Arabidopsis thaliana: one gene and its partners. The protein of the gene in region 2 interacts with the protein of the main gene of each other region in a biochemical or structural test. Each region holds a gene or a part of one and is shown on either strand. Other genes may lie near its edges.

Region 1 (6,667 bases), on a different chromosome or scaffold from region 2:
TTATGTTCACCAAAGTATAAGACTTAATTTCCATCAATAATTGGTTCAAGATAGTTCTAAGATTGTTGTGCATATCTATCTGCAGGTGGCGTGACGTAAAATTGCGAGCTTTTGATAATGCTAAGCACCGTACTTACGTTGATTTGAAGGTAAAATAAAACTCTCTCCTTACAGTGAATGAGGTCTATGTTTCTTGTGCAAGAAGTAACTAATTTTGGGATTGATTAGGACAAATGGAAGACGCTGGTGCACACAGCAAGAATATCACCGCAACAAAGGAGAGGTGAGCCAGTTCCACAGGAGCTCTTAGACCGGGTACTAACGGCTCATGCCTACTGGTCCCAGCAACAGGGGAAACACCAGTTACTAGAGGGACCCCAGCAGCTCGAGACCAGTCTTGGTCTATAGGCCGGGATTAAATATTATCTTCGCAACGTGATAATGGACGTTAGCAGGATAAACCTGGAATTTATTCGTTCATATATACTTTTTTGTTTGTTTGTTTATCTGTTTTATGCATGTATTTGAGAAGATTCAATGTAAAAAAAAAGGAATGGATTGTGTGGTAAAGAAGAAGAAGAAGAAGAAGATATATAGATGAAGATATGTGAAGTCCTATGTAATTGTCACAGTGCTTGGTTGTAATAAGAGGTTTCTTCCTTTTGGTGCCTTGCAAAATTGAGATCCTGATAAGATTCCTTGACAAGAAAAGGTAGAGTTGATAAGGAGAAAAGGAAACATAACATACGTACCAATAATTATTCACTTTGGCTTTTTGTGGTAATAGCTATGCGACTTTTTTCAATGGCTAAACAGACTTTTTTGGACACTTACAGAAGAAAAGAGAATAAGATGGGAGATACTTTAGGATCTCATAGATCAACCGAGAGAAATAAATGAAGTTGTCATTTTCATTATTTCATATCTTTCTCAAAAGTCGACACCTATCGATGAGTAAACTTTTTTGCTAGCATCGTTTGCTATGTGGCTACGAAAGTAAAAAAAATGGATGTGTTCATGAAGCTACGATTAGTCCAATCTTTTAGTGGGAAGCGAAAGTAAGGTGCAATTAATGTAAGAAATTCATGATATTGCTACAGCGAAATTGTCTTGTTCCAAACTTCCAAGCTTAGCACATCGTCTGATCTCTCAATTTTTTCTTTTGTCTTATTTTGCTTTAAAAGTGCAGTATTTTAAAAATTGTCATTTGCTAGTTCCTAGTATTGTCATAATCTTTGTTGTTGAAATTGTTCAATTATTAGCCAACACTAGAATATTATTATATGTTTTTAAGTAAATTTCAAGATTGGGATACCATTTGTGGACCGAAAGCAACAACACAGTTGCGCTAGCAGTGTCACTAAGGAAGGCCGACATCAATCATATATCGCAAGAGACGGACCTTACTGGCTTCGTTATGTATTCTCTTCGGAATTTATCCTCGTTGTTCTTGGCCATGAATATTTTCTTCCAAGTTTTTTTTGGTCTCTCCAAAGTCCAAACCATCTCTCCCGCATATATTAAGGTTAAGATGATTTTTAAAAAGGAGATAACAAATTTTATAATTGGAATTATTATCTTAGTCGGGTCAACGAAAAACTAGTGAGCAGCCAGGAATGTTGAAATATAAGATATGGGAAGAAAAGTAAAATGACTATGAAATAATAAAGTGTGACTTGTATAACGATTATCAAAACATAATACACAGTAACTTTTTGAATCTCAGGCCATCTTGTGCATATTCCTTAAAATTCTTACGATATTGAGATTGATTTTTTTGGTGGTATGGTATCCATAGAGTGACTTGTATATCTATTTCTTTTCTTGCCAAAAAATTGTTCAATAAATCTATTTTATGTAGTCACTAATCAGTAATCACTGCTGTCAAAAATAAAATAAAATGTAATCACTAATCAGTAATCACTGCTGTCAAAAATAAAATAAAATGTAATCACTAATCAGTAATCATATAGTACGTTATCTTTCTATGAAAGTAACATTGTTTCATTCGTGTACTTTCTAGATTGGTCTCACCACACAAAAATAATGCTGTTTTGGAAAGAAAAGAATCATAAAATCTCATCGCCTTAACATCCTTTACATTATAATTCGTATTCACTAAACTAATTAAATAATAAAATTAATATCTGAAATAAAATTAAAACTAAAGAAATTGATAAATTTCCAAATAAATATCAGTTTCTAGTAAAAGTAAACAATAAACAGTGAAAATTGAAACTTGTCTTGATTCGGAAAGATTCTTTTCAGACAACAGATAGACCCAAGAAGTTGCCTGATCGACTTATATTTCTGAGTGAAATTTAAAAGAAAAGAAAAGAGACAAGGGCATATTCTTTTATATTATCTCTGTAGAGAGAGTAAAAACAATTAATTAGTTCTTATCTTTCATCTGCTTCATCATCTTCTTTCTAGTCTCTCTCTCTCTCTTCACCGCGTACACAGTAACACAGACCCTTTTTCCCTCTTACTCAAGGTTCTTCTTTGTCATCTTGTTGCCGAATCCACAAAGAGGTACGCTTTCTTCTCTGAAATCTCCCTGCTTTGTAATTTTTACTCTCTTCTCTTCTCATCTTCTTCAGTGCTCTGCTTTTTTGGTTTTGGTGATTGATCAGGAGAATAAAGATTCGACCTTTATTAGATATTAACGACTCTGGATTTTTGGGTTTTTGGAGTTGGATCCACATGGGTTCTTATCCGGATGGATTCCCTGGATCCATGGACGAGTTGGATTTCAATAAGGACTTTGATTTGCCTCCCTCCTCAAACCAAACCTTAGGTTTAGCTAATGGGTTCTATTTAGATGACTTAGATTTCTCATCCTTGGATCCTCCAGAGGCATATCCCTCCCAGAACAACAACAACAACAACATCAACAACAAAGCTGTAGCAGGAGATCTGTTATCATCTTCATCTGATGACGCTGATTTCTCTGATTCTGTTTTGAAGTATATAAGCCAAGTTCTTATGGAAGAGGATATGGAAGAGAAGCCTTGTATGTTTCATGACGCTTTGGCTCTTCAAGCTGCTGAGAAATCTCTCTATGAGGCTCTTGGTGAGAAATACCCTTCTTCGTCTTCTGCTTCTTCTGTGGATCATCCTGAGAGATTGGCTAGTGATAGCCCTGACGGTTCTTGTTCAGGTGGTGCTTTTAGTGATTACGCTAGCACCACTACCACTACTTCCTCTGATTCTCACTGGAGTGTTGATGGTTTGGAGAATAGACCTTCTTGGTTACATACACCTATGCCGAGTAATTTTGTTTTCCAGTCTACTTCTAGGTCCAACAGTGTCACCGGTGGTGGTGGTGGTGGTAATAGTGCGGTTTACGGTTCAGGTTTTGGCGATGATTTGGTTTCGAATATGTTTAAAGATGATGAATTGGCTATGCAGTTCAAGAAAGGGGTTGAGGAAGCTAGTAAGTTCCTTCCTAAGTCTTCTCAGCTCTTTATTGATGTGGATAGTTACATCCCTATGAATTCTGGTTCCAAGGAAAATGGTTCTGAGGTTTTTGTTAAGACGGAGAAGAAAGATGAGACAGAGCATCATCATCATCATAGCTATGCTCCTCCTCCCAACAGATTAACTGGTAAGAAAAGCCATTGGCGCGACGAAGATGAAGATTTCGTTGAAGAAAGAAGTAACAAGCAATCAGCTGTTTATGTTGAGGAAAGCGAGCTTTCTGAAATGTTTGATAAGATCTTGGTATGTGGCCCTGGGAAACCTGTATGCATTCTTAACCAGAACTTTCCTACAGAATCCGCTAAAGTCGTGACCGCACAGTCAAATGGAGCAAAGATTCGTGGGAAGAAATCAACTTCTACTAGTCATAGTAACGATTCTAAGAAAGAAACTGCTGATTTGAGGACTCTTTTGGTGTTATGTGCACAAGCTGTATCAGTGGATGATCGTAGAACCGCCAACGAAATGCTAAGGCAGATACGAGAGCATTCTTCGCCTCTAGGCAATGGTTCAGAGCGGTTGGCTCATTATTTTGCAAATAGTCTTGAAGCACGCTTAGCTGGGACCGGTACACAGATCTACACCGCTTTATCTTCGAAGAAAACGTCTGCAGCAGACATGTTGAAGGCTTACCAGACATACATGTCGGTCTGCCCTTTCAAGAAAGCTGCTATCATATTTGCTAACCACAGCATGATGCGTTTCACTGCAAACGCCAACACGATCCACATAATAGATTTCGGAATATCTTACGGTTTTCAGTGGCCTGCTCTGATTCATCGCCTCTCGCTCAGCAGACCTGGTGGTTCGCCTAAGCTTCGAATTACCGGTATAGAGCTTCCTCAGCGCGGTTTTAGACCAGCGGAAGGAGTTCAGGAGACAGGTCATCGCTTGGCTCGATACTGTCAGCGACACAATGTTCCGTTTGAGTACAACGCAATTGCTCAGAAATGGGAAACGATCCAAGTCGAAGACTTAAAGCTTCGACAAGGAGAGTATGTGGTTGTGAACTCTTTGTTCCGTTTCAGGAACCTTCTAGATGAGACCGTTCTGGTAAACAGCCCGAGAGATGCAGTTTTGAAGCTGATAAGAAAAATAAACCCGAATGTCTTCATTCCAGCGATCTTAAGCGGGAATTACAACGCGCCATTCTTTGTCACGAGGTTCAGAGAAGCGTTGTTTCATTACTCGGCTGTGTTTGATATGTGTGACTCGAAGCTAGCTAGGGAAGACGAGATGAGGCTGATGTATGAGAAAGAGTTTTATGGGAGAGAGATTGTGAATGTTGTGGCTTGTGAAGGAACAGAGAGAGTGGAGAGACCAGAGACATATAAGCAGTGGCAGGCGAGACTGATCCGAGCCGGATTTAGACAGCTTCCGCTTGAGAAGGAACTGATGCAGAATCTGAAGTTGAAAATCGAAAACGGGTACGATAAAAACTTCGATGTTGATCAAAACGGTAACTGGTTACTTCAAGGGTGGAAAGGTAGAATCGTGTATGCTTCATCTCTATGGGTTCCTTCGTCTTCATAGATGTTGTTTCTTACGTTCTAAGCGACTGGGATTTATGTAGGGCTTTTCTGTTGATAGTCTCTCGCCAACACGAGTGGATTAAGTTCAGAGTTAGGGTTCTTGAACACTAGAATGTTGTTATATTATGCTTGTGACATAGCGTGTGTAAGAGTGTAGCCTAAGAGATATAGTACTCATTGCATGATCTTTTGCTATATGTTCATGTAATCTTTTGTTGCATAAATAATGAAAAGTTACATTTTTTTCAGTGTCTTGTTTATACAGTTCTATTGCAGAGTGTGACATCTCGTCATCTCGTACTACAAAACACACCGAAAAGTAGATAATCATGTACTAGGACGACATAATCAGAAATAATAATGAAAACTTTAAAACCTGGAAAGTGAAAACCCCTATGAAAGCCTACTAGTACTAATCAGAAGTATTACATCATTTTAACTAAAGTCTTACAATTATTGATTGAACAACAAACAACAAACAACAAACAATAATTTCAAAATCAAACAAATAATCCATCCAATAAACTTTCCTAACTATTATATCCAGGATTTGTTTATAACGCCGAAAGAGTTGAATATTTATTTGGAGACAGAAAAATATAGTTACTCAAAAACGTGACACCCACTCAATTTCGAGTTTTTCTGACATAAAAGTATTTCTTCATGTACTAGTACAATAATACGTGGTGAGAATCTCACAATATATGTCAGAATGGCATTGTGGGATCAGATCTGGAGGGGTCCTTTTCACTTTCTTGTGTTTATTTATTGTCGCTGTTCTATATAATTATTACGATGAAGTCACTTTATGTTATCATATTTCGTTTGTTTGTTGATATAGTATTCATCAGCTAACATCAACTATTTTTTAAATAATTCGTACTGGTCAAATAATCAACTCCACCTATCAGGAACCTTTAATAATCTTGCTCTCCAAGTTTTACATATGATTTTTTGTCAACTTGAAACTGTTGGAATCACATATTTATTTTATATGCAAACACATTTGACTTTACATCAAAATAATAATAATCATAAAACAAGAGTTGATCAAGTAACATATACATAATTTTGATATAGACACCATCTAAAAGCGGCCGGAATATGTAATTTAGAAATTTTGTTAGTATTTTTAGAATCCAAGATCGTACATATGTAAATCAAAAACATCACTTCTATGGTTCACATAATTATAAATTAATAATTTGTACGGTTTGACCGCATCTATTATATATATAAAAAAATGTCTAACATATCCCAAATGAGAAGCATCTCGAGCTATTTATAAAATACTATACAAATTTTAAAAATCAGTAAGTACACTTGTTGTTATTAAGAAAATAATGATCCTAAGTAACTCGTCGACATATTCAATTTTGGCAACTACTTTCTTGAAGCAAACAAAATTATAAGCTAGTATCAACAAACATATGGATCATTTAAGCTTCGATAAGCGGTCAACATATGGGGGAATTAGGAGACAAATCACTACTTAAAAAGAACCACTAGTCATTACTTTTTGTGGATAACATGACAATCACTACAATAAAAACTGGGCCCATCAAGCCCAAGAATACTCTTAATGACAAGTCAAAAGAGAGATAGTTTTGAGTTTTGACTCCTCGGACGAATCGCAAGACTGGTCTTGTCCCCCT
Region 2 (7,194 bases):
TCTGTTGATTACAACAACAAACAAGAAAAACATAACTGAAAGGCTCAATGACAAAAACCAAACTCTTGCAAAATAGAGATGTTTATATTCACCTTTTGATCCATTTTACTCTTTGAACGGTCACTAGAATCAGAAGCACCGATACCCAAATGCCCTTCATCGAACTGCATAAATACTGTTTTATTTCAAAACTTTGGCCATTTAATGAACATAAAGAAGCAAGACCTAGAAATTTTACAAGCTAACCATTAGGTTATTATGATCAGTGTCTCCATCTGTTGAGACTGATGTTCTTGGACTAGTATCTCCCATTTTTCTTTTTCTTCAAAATCTCTGTTACTAAATCATCAGATAAAAACCGATCCAATCGTGGTACCCTAGATGGAGTAAAGACTGTCAAAAGTAAGATGGTAAACATAAACAAAAGATTAGAGTTATAGAGAAAGAAAACATATTTTTAAGCCAAAAACCAACGCATTAAGTAGAATCAAGAAAGTGGAAACAATGATACGATACATCACCCTATTTATGTCACACTAACATAAAGATCCAAACCACTAAACTTAACACATAGCTGTGAAGCAACCAATGACCTCAAGAACTTTGAGTATTCAAAGCCAGAGAATCAAAGTAAACAATAAGCACGCCTATATGATTTGAAATGAGAACCAACGGACTTCTATAGCGTAAAGCTCTCCGTGAGGTGAAACAGTAACTAATCTGAACATTAGACTGAAGTAGAGCTAAAAGATTCAGAATTTAGCAAACTAGCCCCGGAAACAGAGTAAAAGACACAAAATTCAAGCTTCATAACATCAAATCTCAACCAATTCGTTTAAATAGTGTCCGAAATAATGATTTTGGATCCTTAACACGTACATAAAGCAAAAAGGAAAAAATTCCCTCAAAGGTCAAAATCTTCAATGGAAAAAAACAATCATGAAAGCAGAGGCAGAATAAGAAAACTGAAGAACTAAAACCCCTAAGACTATTGAAGAAGAGACTCACCTGAAAAGAACGGATTCTTTGAGCTTAACCCCAAACAAAAGTTGCTCGGAGAAAAAGCGATTTAGAGAAAGATCCGGAAAATTCCAATCTACAACTGCAAAGACGTGGTCTTTGTCTAAAACCCACAACAGATATAGTATCAATCACCAACAAAGGTTACTACTTTTGTATCTTCCTTCTTTGAGGTATTTTTAGTTGTACGATCTTCTTTTTTTTTATTTTGCCGGTCTCTGAAAAAAAACAGGAATGGAAGACGAAACTCAAGTGATGGTGGACCTCTAGATGCTGAGGGTTAAAAAGTCCTCTGAAAATTGCAACACTCTCTTTTTTCTAAAAACAAAATAATTCTTGGTTTTGACAATGACATGTCCCTTTTTTTATTACAAAAAAATCTATCACACTTACTTTGAATGTAAATTCATTTTCATCATCTCTTGGAAGTTTACATTAGAATCCTCACTAAATAAGATTTAAGACACAAGCGATGAAACTACAAAACTCAAATAGAACATCTTAATATTGTTAAATGATTACAGTACAGAAGTTGCAAGGTTAAAACACCTTTACCACACACAAAAGTAACAAAAAAAAACAAAATTCAATAACCTTTCTAAGATAATCGAAGATGCTATATAAACAACATTGAACTTTTCAAATGCTAAATTAAAAACTGATGACTACAACTAAAACAACATGAATTACCACAACCATGTAGAAGAAACCTACATACAAAGAGTCTTTTGTTTCCCAGAAATTTGCTTATTTGTTGATGGATTTGGTAAGAAGAATCTGACAAGTGTTGATTAATAGTCTCTCCTGGTTTTGTGTCCATATGGATTTTGTACAGCTGACATGTGACCAAAATACAGTTTCACTCTCTGGGTCGAGCAAGCCATAAGGAGCTTAGAGCTCGTAGCCGTGAGAAGTAATCGTGTATTGCAAGTAGAGCACGTGCTGACTGTCTCGTTGTTAATACTCTTATCATCTGTTGCAATGTTTGTAGTCTCAAATTATCAGCCTGCCACCACCAACCAAGAGACGATTATTAACCTATTGATATATATATATACTCTTAACTAAGATATCATCTCAAAACATCACAAGTGTTGTACCTGGCGGATAAATCCTTCGAGTGTACCTAACTTTCCCATTGCCATGGCCATCTGACCCATGTAGCTTGCGACATTCCCTGATGAACTTGAACCAAGAGTCCCGCTCGATAAAGTATCAGCTAGTGACTGTTGTAAGCTCTCCATCCCTTGAGACAAAGCATCTTCAGCCTGCTGCGATGTCTGTTGCAGGTTATTTATGCCCATCAACTGTCTCTCTGTCATTGGCTCCAACTGATTCGCCAGAAGCTGTTTCAACACATTTTTCCCTATGACCATTCTTTTTATGTTCTATGTAGAAACAGATGCAATCGGTGAAGACAAAGTGAAATTTGACCTCACCTTTAGAAGTTCGGATGAACGAAATCCACCGAGCCACAAGAAACATCTCTCAGCTGGTGTTTTCCACATGCCAGATAGCAAGTGAAAGACATCATTCTTAGCTGCATTGCTCTTTATCCTGAAAAGCTCCTCATAGTGAGCCATCACACCATCGACTATTATTCGAAGCTCAGAATCACCTGCATGCGCATTCAGAGCAGACCTCAGCTCGTTCATTTGCTTGTTCTTTTCTTCCAACCACCGTGAATGTTCAGCATCAAACGCCAAAGCACCTGAATTAAAAAATTTATACATGATCAAAACAAACCCATGAGATTCGTCATCTTGTAAATCTAAATCTACACCAGTGCTAATTAGAATAACAGTTTTTGCTATCAGAACCATGTCAGTCTGCCACTGACTCTGATAACCCAGTGTATTGTAATGGGATGAGATATGATGTACTAATTGATCAGTCTACACCAAGTCAACAGGAAGTTGATATATGAACTTAACTTATACACAAATTAGAAGCCAAAAAATAAACATAATTAAAACTAATGGAGAATAAGCAACCAACCATTTCCACCAGTAGAATGGGCCTGGTCTCCTGTGCCTGAAATGAAGACGCCCTAGAAACAAGAAATTTACCGTTAGGTATACAGAATAACAAAATAAAAATCAATAGAAATAAGAAACAAATTTGAACCTGCTGTCTTGCTCTTTGCAGCTCCTGCTCAAGCTGGGTTAGTTTCAAGCGGCTGTTCTCTAGCTGCTGAACATAAGCCTATGGAGGGAGCAATTAAAAGGAATTAACGTAGTACCAAATAGCTATGCTTCTAGCGATGCACCAATTTAAAAAGAAAAGAAAAAGTAAAAAAAGATAAAACCAATGGAAGGTAATATACCTTCTTCCTCAATCTGCTTTTCCTTGCTGCCTCACGGTTTTGAGCAAGCCTACGAAGAGTCTATGGATCAAAATATAAGGAAACAAAAAGAGATTATAAATTGGCTGAATAAAAACAGTGATCTTATCTACAGAGATGGACATGTCACCTTTTGATCCATCTTTCCCTTCGATCGGTCACTCGAATCAGAAGCAGCAGTATTCACTAGTGCTCCCTCCGACTGCATTAAAATTAACACCAGAATTTTTGTTTGGTCCATAAAAAATCACACTATTTTGAAGAATATAAGTGATAAAATCTAGCCAGATTATGAGCTAACCCCAAGATCAGGATGATCTGTGTCGTCATCTGTTGAGACATCAGTTCTCGGACTGGTATCAGCCATATTACTTTCTCACCACTTTTCTGTACTAACACTTGATAACAAAGACAATATCCACTTGTGGCCTCTCTTTTAGTAACAACTTCTTGAAATTTCTCTTGTGTGCACAGACTGCCAGGATTCGGAAGGAAATTAAGAAAAAGAAAAAAAGACAGAAAGAACAAAATTAGGTGATAGAATATAAAAGAAAGATCAACACCTACCAATACGAATCAATAGGAAATGAATCAGGAACAAATGTTGGTCACCCGGAGCATTGGCTGCGCTGAATGAGCACAAAAAAAAACAGCATTACATACCATCTCTTTTGCTAACATAGTTTTCAATTATGTCCTATAAAGTCAAGAAAAAGGTTCTCTAGTTTGTTTCAGTTAAACAAGCCAGCTAAAGAATGCTAAAGAGTCCTTTACTTATTCAAAGTGTCCTAAGGGAAATTCTGCTGACTACCATAAGTCACAAAGTCAAATATATAAGAACAATCTGTTTGTAGCTAACAGACTGACAAAAATAGCCCATCAAAAACACAACCTTTAAAGCAATTCATCAAACCCAATCAGACATGTAGCTTGCACAATCTACAAAGTCTGAGAAACTCATTCAGACCTTAAGCTTAGCTCGCGGATCAAAGTCAAAATCAGTGAGACTTAAGGTGTTGGCACAGTCGAAAATGCCTGAGTTTGAAAAATTAGGTACAGTCACACTCACACACATCATTTCAATTCAGTTTGAATGACACTAAAGTAGCTTCAGTAGCTGAATCTCTTAGTTTTGCAACTCTAGCTAGAACAAAAACTATTCAGTATTCACATCCGAGTTGACTCAATTCCTTACTCAGTATTCATATCCGAGTAAAGTAAAAAAAAAAAGCTAAACTCTAAATCTAGAACCAGTGAGAATTCGGCATGAAGCTGCAGCTATGATTTCAAACCAAGAAACTACCACCGAAACAGAATTCAAGAGATTAACATTTAATTCGATGATTTTGGTAGCTCAAAATTAAGAACAAAATCACCAATTAAAAAAAAAAAAAAGCTGAACTCTTTAAGCTTGAGAAAGTCAACTAGGTTTAACTTCAAAAGCAAAAAGACAGAGTTAACAAGTAGCTTCTTAGGACTGTGAAGGAGAAAACTCCCAGAAAAAAAACAAAGGAAGAAAAACCCTAGAAAAAAAGGTTGGCTTGATGAAGAAACTGACCTGGAAAAACGAAATCTTGAAGGTGCACAAGTAAAGGGCTTGATTCGAAATCGGATTGAAACAAAGAAACAGAGAGAGACACGATCCGAAATTCCAATCTCCGAGACGTCGTTTTGTCTACAAATCTACCAGTTCCCCATAGACCCTCGACCAAAATTTAACGGGAAATTTCAAACTAAACCCTATACTCTTTATTTTTACCATTAACCAACCCTACTATCTTATAATTGCAAAACCCACCCCGTATTTTCAACACCTGAAATTCAATTCACTCTCACTCTCACTCTCACTCTCACTCTCACTCTCTCACTACTTCACTCATTCAGCAGATCCTCTTCATTCTCTATTCTTAACTCATTAATGGCTACCAGATTCAAGCACCAGTTTTCAATCTCACTAGCCTTGACATTCTTCTTCTTCTTCACCAAGACCTTCTCTTTCACAGAGAACGAGGAACTTGGTAACCTTCTCAGATTCAAAGCCTCCTTTGATGATCCAAAAGGCTCTCTTTCAGGTTGGTTTAACACTTCTTCTTCGCACCATTGTAACTGGACTGGTATCACATGTACTAGAGCTCCTACTCTTTACGTCTCTTCCATTAACCTTCAAAGTTTGAATCTTTCTGGTGAAATCTCTGACTCCATTTGTGACCTCCCTTACCTCACTCACCTTGACCTCTCCTTGAACTTCTTCAATCAGCCTATCCCACTTCAGTTGTCTCGTTGTGTTACTTTAGAGACTCTTAATCTCAGCTCTAATCTCATCTGGGGCACAATCCCTGATCAGATTTCTGAGTTTAGTTCCTTGAAAGTTATTGACTTTAGCAGTAACCATGTCGAAGGTATGATTCCAGAAGATTTAGGGTTATTGTTTAATCTCCAAGTTCTCAACTTGGGAAGTAATTTGCTCACTGGTATCGTCCCTCCTGCTATTGGGAAGCTAAGTGAGCTTGTTGTTCTTGATTTGTCTGAAAACAGCTATTTGGTTAGTGAGATTCCTTCTTTTCTTGGGAAGCTAGACAAGCTTGAACAGCTTCTGTTGCATAGGTCAGGGTTCCATGGAGAGATTCCTACTTCGTTTGTTGGTTTGACAAGTTTGAGAACCTTGGATCTGAGTTTGAACAACCTGAGTGGTGAGATTCCTCGATCATTAGGCCCTTCTCTCAAGAACTTAGTGTCTCTTGATGTCTCACAGAATAAGTTATCTGGCTCTTTCCCTAGTGGCATTTGCAGTGGTAAAAGGCTTATTAACCTTTCTCTCCACTCGAATTTCTTTGAAGGGTCATTGCCTAACTCCATTGGTGAATGCCTTAGTCTGGAGAGGCTTCAAGTGCAGAACAATGGATTTTCTGGTGAGTTTCCAGTTGTGTTGTGGAAATTACCCAGGATTAAGATTATTAGAGCGGATAATAATCGGTTCACAGGTCAAGTGCCAGAGTCTGTGTCTTTGGCTTCTGCATTGGAGCAAGTTGAGATAGTCAACAATTCCTTTTCTGGTGAAATCCCACATGGTCTTGGATTGGTTAAGAGCTTGTATAAGTTTTCTGCTTCACAAAACCGGTTTAGTGGAGAGTTACCGCCGAATTTTTGCGACTCACCTGTCCTTAGTATTGTAAACATCTCTCACAATAGGCTCTTAGGAAAGATCCCAGAACTGAAAAACTGCAAGAAGCTTGTCTCTTTGTCTCTAGCAGGCAATGCATTCACCGGAGAAATCCCGCCATCACTTGCTGATTTACATGTTCTGACCTATCTTGATCTATCTGATAATAGTCTTACTGGTTTGATCCCTCAAGGCTTACAGAACCTAAAGCTTGCTCTTTTTAACGTGTCATTCAATGGATTATCAGGTGAGGTACCTCACTCTCTGGTCTCCGGGTTACCAGCTTCCTTTCTGCAAGGAAATCCTGAGCTTTGTGGACCCGGTTTACCCAATTCTTGCTCCTCTGATCGGTCTAACTTCCATAAAAAAGGTGGTAAAGCGTTGGTGTTATCTTTGATATGTTTAGCACTTGCTATTGCCACTTTCCTTGCGGTGTTATATCGTTATTCTCGAAAGAAAGTGCAATTCAAGAGTACTTGGCGCTCGGAGTTTTATTATCCCTTCAAGTTAACTGAGCATGAGTTGATGAAAGTGGTGAATGAAAGTTGTCCTTCCGGAAGTGAAGTATACGTTCTCAGTTTATCTAGTGGGGAGTTATTAGCTGTGAAGAAGCTTGTGAATTCTAAGAATATATCCTCGAAATCTCTGAAAGCTCAAGTGAGAACCATAG
Region 3 (6,372 bases), on a different chromosome or scaffold from region 2:
GTTTTAAAGATAGGGATGAGCTGAAGAAGGCGGTGGACTGGTGTTCCATTAGAGGGCAGCAAAAGTGTGTAGTACAAGAGATTGAGAAGGACGAGTATACGTTTAAATGCATCAGATGGAAATGCAATTGGTCGCGTCGGGCAGATTGAATAGAAGAACATGGACTTGTTAAGATAACTAAGTGTAGTTGGTCCACATACTTGTTGTTCTATTAAGCCGGAAAACTTCAACTTGTAATTTGCAGCAGAAGAGATTGAGTGTCTGATCAGGGTACAACCCACTCTAACAGCAGAGTTGAAAAGTTTGGTGACATGCTTAAAACTTCAAAGCTGCGGGCAGCAGAACAGGAAGTAATCAAAGATCAGAGTTTCAGAGTATTGCCTAAACTAATTGGCTGCATTTCACTCATCTAATGGGCTACTTGTGGACTGCAATATGAGCTTTTCCCTAATCCTGAATTTGCATCCTTCGGTGGCGCGTTTTGGGCGTTTCCACAGTCCATTGAAGGGTTTCAACACTGTAGACCTCTGATCATAGTGGATTCAAAAGACTTGAACGGCAAGTACCCTATGAAATTGATGATTTCCTCAGGACTCGACGCTGATGATTGCTTTTTCCCGCTTGCCTTTCCGCTTACCAAAGAAGTGTCCACTGATAGTTGGCGTTGGTTTCTCACTAATATCAGAGAGAAGGTAACACAAAGGAAAGACGTTTGCCTCGTCTCCAGTCCTCACCCGGACATAGTTGCTGTTATTAACGAACCCGGATCACTGTGGCAAGAACCTTGGGTCTATCACAGGTTCTGTCTGGATTGTTTTTGCTTACAATTCCATGATATTTTTGGAGACTACAACCTGGTGAGCCTTGTGAAGCAGGCTGGATCCACAAGTCAGAAGGAAGAATTTGATTCCTACATAAAGGACATCAAAAAGAAGGACTCAGAAGCTCGGAAATGGTTAGCCCAATTCCCTCAAAATCAGTGGGCTCTGGCTCATGACCAGTGGTCGGAGATATGGAGTCATGACGATAGAAACAGAAGATTTGAGGGCAATTTGTGAAAGCTTTCAGTCTCTTGGTCTATCAGTGACAGCGAACGCACCTGCACATGTGGGAAGTTTCAATCGAAGAAGTTTCCATGTATGCACCCAGAAATGGTGCAAAGGATTGTTAACTTGTGTCATTCACAAATGTTGGATGCAATGGAGCTGACTAGGAGAATGCACCTTACACGCCCACTCAGTGTTCTCTTATCTCTAGACCTGAAACTAACTTGCTGTGTAATTCGAGTTACAAAAGGTTAAAGGAAGAATTAGGAAGATACATATAACATGAATGTTGCCAGAAGTTCAGGGAACTTGAATATTCTTTTGGTTCTTGGTGGAAAATATCCAACAGATGAACAATTTGACATTATTTCACACTTTGATTCTAGCAACTCTGTAACACCATCATGGGTTATTGTTGATGTACATAAATATATATTACAAATCTGTATACCATTGGTTCAAATTGTTACAACATTTGTTTGAAGCACACCTGCAGCAATAATACACAGGATGCAAAACGAAGAGCGAAACTATATGACGCCAACGATAGACATAAACAGTTACAGTCATCATGAAAACAGAATTATATGGTACAGCAAAAATTACACTAAGAGGCAAGAGTCTCACCGACGACGATGAGAGAGTTTACGGTTAGACCTCTTTCCACCGGTTGATTTCGATGTGGAAGAAGTCGAATCTGTCAGGGACGAATTTCCTAATTCCAAATTGTCCTCACTAAAGGCCTTCTTTAGTGTCTCTTGTATTTCCATGTACCTTTGCTTCTTTTGTAGTCGTTTCTCAGCAGTGTCGTCTTCTCCGCAAGCCAGTTGAGTCAAGTCCTCACAGTTCATAATCTGGTCGAGCACTGCCGAACAGCGCGGGAAGAATCGTTTCCCGAGTTCCACTGATGATAAAAAAACAAGGTCAGACAGCAAGTAACAAAACCATGTTTAAAGATCATTTAGTTTTGTTTTTTGTGATAAGGAGTCCGATGAAGTGGGTGAGAATCCATACCGGTTTTAGAAAGCGCTTTTAGTCTACTTTGATGCTCTTCTAGGATTCTGAAAGGTGCTATCTTTACACCCGGTGATGTTCTCTTCGTACCAGTGAGACGGTCAGGCTCGAGGCTAGTCACTATGAACTCACATGTTCCCTTCATTTCGGCGATCTCCATTGCAGCTTGTGCTTCCGTTGGAAAAAGACGTTGAGCAAGTGCAACTAAACAGTGGACGACACAAAGAATAGTTATCATTAGTTCACTCAGTTTCCTAATAGAGAGGACATAAATTTAATTCAAACATATAAGAAATAAGACTTGATAGATACCTCTATTTTCAAGATCGAGCAGCGTCATCTTCAATTCATCGGCCGCCACTGCAAAAGAGGGAGGAACATCTCTAGGAATTTGTTCTCGTTTGTCTTCTTGCTCTAGTATTTCTACACATAGTCGGCCTTTGAGAGAATGCTTGCATTGCTCCGGGATATTATTACATTCAACCGCCATAGTGGCTTGTTTTGCGATCATGAGTGCGGTTCTACCTTCCAAAGTTGCTTCTGATGCACTTGCACCTTTTTCCAATAGAGATAGTATCAATTGTGGCTCCTTCCGCATCGCAGCAACATGAAGCACCGTATATCCCCTCGGATTCCTATGGTTGACATCGGCAAGATCAAGTTTTAAAAGATCTGTTGCGGTCTTCACATTGCAATATGCAACAGCGAAATGAAGAGCACACGCATCATCTAGATTGGTGTGATCCTCTTTCAAAAGCAACTTGACTAACTCAATATCATCCGAGTCAAGTGCCTTATGTACATTCGAGACATGTTTCTTTACTTTAGGTACCTCCAAACCAAGCTCTTTACGTCTATCAATTATCTCTTTAACAAGCTCTTCCGGCAATGACTTTTCAAGACTAACCATATCTACATTAGACTTGACAATAATCTCTTTACATCTATCCAATAGCTTCATACAAGCTTTACCACATATATTAGCAAGCTTGAGTATAACCAATGTGTCCTCTATAACAACTTTGTCTACAACGTCCAATAAGTGCCTCTGAAATACAAATACAAGTACTCAAGTAAGAACATATTCATGAATGTGTAACCATAGCTTAATGCAGATGGTGTTTTACCTGATAGAGAGTAATTAATTCAGGGATCTTGAAGATGAAAGCCAAATAGAGAACCTCCAACATGAAATCCACCGCCGGCCGGCAAGCCACGTGGCAGCAATTCTCGTCTGCGCATTCAGAAACTCCTTTAGGCGGCGGTCTCACTCTGCTGCTGTAAACATAAGCCAAAACAGTCACAACCGAATCGAAACCGACTTCGTAATCCTTGGCAATCTCCTTAAGCTCGAGCTTCACGGCGGCGGTGTTGTTGGAGTCTTTCTCCTTCTTAGCGGCGGCTAAAGCGCTCTTGAAGAAAGAGCTTCTCGCTGACAAAACGCACCGGTGGAAAGAAACTTCCCGGCCGTCGGAGAGAACAAGCTTAGCGTCGCTGTAGAAATCATCCGGCGAGTCAAAGACGGATTCGAAGCTGTTGGAGAGCAATTGCAGAGCAGATACATCAGGTCCGGTGAGTACTTGTTCGGCGGCCAGATAAACAATAGAGGAGTCGGTGTTATCGGTAGCGACGAAACTAGTGCTGCTGATTTCATAAGAATCGGCGAATCCATCAATGGTGGTGTCCATCAACAGGTTCCGATGAATTGAAATTCACAAATTAAAGAGATCTCTGCTAATCAACGAAGAGACCTTATCAACTGGATTTGGTTAAAGATCGAAGATAACCATTGACGAGCAGAGCCAAGTCAAGTCAACGAGAGTGGTGGTGAGATATGAAGAAGCATCCTCGTCCCACGGTTTACATTTCACCAAAACCGGTAAATTTCCAGGAAAGGAATCTTTGTCAGAGATCTTTTTTAAAAAGATATAACAGGAAGCTAAACCGGTTCGGGTTATAAATGTTAGTATTTATACCGGAGACATTTTGTGTTGCTAATTTTTGTATATGAGAAGTTCAATCCGGTTCGGTAAGCCCCTGAACCAAACTAGATTTGGAGATGATATAAATATATAAAATTTATTTTTCATCCGGTTCGTTATTTTCATATAAATATATAAATATTATTTTTTAAATTTAAGAATTAGATTTACATGTGAAAGTTACATTTCTGTTTATTTTCTTTGAAGTAAAATGATAAAGGGAACGTATATTAAGTTTCATGCTTTATTCACATAAGTTTTGTAATGTATATTATATTTTTCGTTTATTGAAAAAGTAATTTTCAGTGTTCAGCATGTTTACACTATAATTAAATCAAGTCGAATATTTCCTGGAACTATTCTCCTTGTTCTATAGCAAATGAAAACGCTCTTCACAACAAAATCATTATAGATATAGGAATAAATTACATTAAAAACATGAAAGTCATAATGAATATATTTTTTTAATTAGGATTTGATTTAAAAACAATTATTGTATACATATAAAAGACTTCTTTAGTTATTTGCCTTCAACTTCTCGTTCTGAATCATGCGATAAATCAGCTTTTTCAATAACTACGACGTAAAAGCAAATTCATAACACGTCTAAACAAATTTGGCTCATCCTTCACTTGATTGGTGTTTTCCGGACTCGATGTTGCTGGAAACTGAGAAGAAGAAGGAATCTGCATAATCACCTCTTGGTTCCTCACCGGTAGACTCATTTTGTTGGATCGAAAACGATCGAGATCAGAAAATGAAAAGATAGGTTAAAGATGCCTATGAATACAACAACGTAAGATTATGTTGAATAAACAGAGTACTTTATATAGGAGTTATAATAAGGTAAATAAATTATTGCTTTCCGCGTTTTTTACTTTTGTATTTCTTAAATGATAAGTTAAATTAGGATAAGATTTGTATGATTTTAAGTAAATTTACAATAACTCTCTATAACTCAATAGCATCACATATTTAATTAATTTTACTAATTATCTTTTGAACAATTTTATGAAATAGTTTTCTTTTAATTAATTTTTTAAAATGATATATTATAAAATTTAATTGAATCAATCTGATATAATTTTTTTATCTTCTACCATCTATTATAGTTGATAAATATTGTGATAAACTTTAGATAAACACCCAATTGCCAAATATTTAATAAATTTTGTGTACCATGCGTTTTTTTTGGAGAATATATATACGTGGACAGCATACCGTACATATATTGTATAAAAGCTTATAAAACATAGATACGGGTTATATTGGTAAGCTATAAATATATGTAAACAATAGTAAGATATTACGTGTTGTGTCTAAATATGTGTTGCTTTAGATATTATTGTATATCTAATATATTAAAATATCTTTTATTAACTAATATATTATTTAAGAGAGAAAATTGGGACACTATTTTCTATACAGTAACTGTTTTCAACTATAAACAGGAACCCTTGATATAATAAAATAACTAGCCAAAAAATCAGATTAAATATTCATAAAACAATGTTTGGTATTATTACATAAACCTAAGAAACAAAATTCAATATTCCTTTTTACCTTATAAAAAACAATTAAACATCACTAGATATATTTATGCCCCACAATGAGCGAGCCAATTGAGACTTGAGACTTGAGATCCTTGTCAACTACGTTTGCATTTGTCGGCCCATTTTTTTTATTTTTTTTTTAAAGTGTCGGCCCGTTGCTTCTTCCGTTCAGATCAACCCTCTCGTAATCAGAACAAAACGGAAAACAAACGAAAGAACAATCAGATCCCTCTTTTTTTGCATAAACTAAATTCAACTTCTCTGCGTTTATGTTGTAGAGGCAACCACGATCACTACTACGAAACAATACAACGTCGTTGCTTGGAGTCCACGTAATCAAATCTACTCCAATGCTTTTAATATCTTTCACTTTAACCCACGACTTTTCAAAACTGCTCTTTAAAACCCATAACTCGTGAACATCTTCTTGATCTTTGTTTGTCCACTGACGAATAGCACCTAGCTTCCCTTCGTATCTGACTAATCCTGAGAAAACATCAGAGTTCGGAGTATGGAAGAAGGACCAAGTTTCGGTTTTGAGACAAAACCGGATCACATTGTTGTTCCGTGATATCCAATGCAAGAACCCCGAAACTTGTATCGGGTTGGAAAAAATTAATCTGTCTGTTTTTGGTAGACGCAAATTTTCTAATCTCTTCCAGGTAAACGAATCAGAATCGAAAACTTCGCACATAAAAGTTCTGTGATTCAAATGGTAGATACCCCGAGACATACACATACGCCGAGACTGCGAAAGCCTTTGTATTTTATACCGGA

Evidence for each region.
Region 1: the proteins of AHBP-1B (region 2) and SCL14 form a complex in vitro, tested with the Arabidopsis thaliana proteins (one study listed by BioGRID).
Region 3: the proteins of AHBP-1B (region 2) and NPR1 form a complex in vitro, tested with the Arabidopsis thaliana proteins (4 studies listed by BioGRID).

The regions. Positions count from the first base shown.
Region 1 is NC_003070.9:2,312,174-2,318,840, reverse strand, and holds SCL14 (SCARECROW-like 14), read left to right. Parts: upstream 1-2,333; 5' UTR 2,334-2,532; intron 2,533-2,633; 5' UTR 2,634-2,703; coding exon 2,704-5,013; 3' UTR 5,014-5,260; downstream 5,261-6,667. Other genes in the region: TRFL2 (TRF-like 2), read left to right, coding at 86-149, 229-408. UniProt on the Arabidopsis thaliana protein: Probable transcription factor involved in plant development.
Region 2 is NC_003076.8:2,148,860-2,156,053, reverse strand, and holds AHBP-1B (bZIP transcription factor family protein), read right to left. Parts: upstream 5,215-7,194; 5' UTR 4,923-5,214; exon of another isoform or gene 4,919-4,922; intron 4,746-4,918; exon of another isoform or gene 4,257-4,745; intron 3,994-4,256; 5' UTR 3,932-3,993; exon of another isoform or gene 3,928-3,931; intron 3,840-3,927; 5' UTR 3,732-3,839; coding exon 3,666-3,731; intron 3,567-3,665; coding exon 3,495-3,566; intron 3,407-3,494; coding exon 3,347-3,406; intron 3,226-3,346; coding exon 3,148-3,225; intron 3,071-3,147; coding exon 3,019-3,070; intron 2,732-3,018; coding exon 2,460-2,731; intron 2,367-2,459; coding exon 2,121-2,366; intron 2,027-2,120; coding exon 1,880-2,026; 3' UTR 1,468-1,879; downstream 1-1,467. Other genes in the region: OBF5 (OCS-element binding factor 5), read right to left, coding at 1-1, 93-164, 247-312; AT5G06940 (Leucine-rich repeat receptor-like protein kinase family protein), read left to right, coding at 5,283-7,194.
Region 3 is NC_003070.9:23,851,660-23,858,031, forward strand, and holds NPR1 (regulatory protein (NPR1)), read right to left. Parts: upstream 4,000-6,372; 5' UTR 3,749-3,999; coding exon 3,188-3,748; intron 3,109-3,187; coding exon 2,373-3,108; intron 2,265-2,372; coding exon 2,061-2,264; intron 1,951-2,060; coding exon 1,670-1,950; 3' UTR 1,089-1,669; downstream 1-1,088. Other genes in the region: AT1G64290 (F-box protein-like protein), read right to left, coding at 5,735-6,372. UniProt on the Arabidopsis thaliana protein: Salicylic acid (SA)-binding substrate-specific adapter of an E3 ubiquitin-protein ligase complex (CUL3-RBX1-BTB) which mediates the ubiquitination and subsequent proteasomal degradation of target proteins.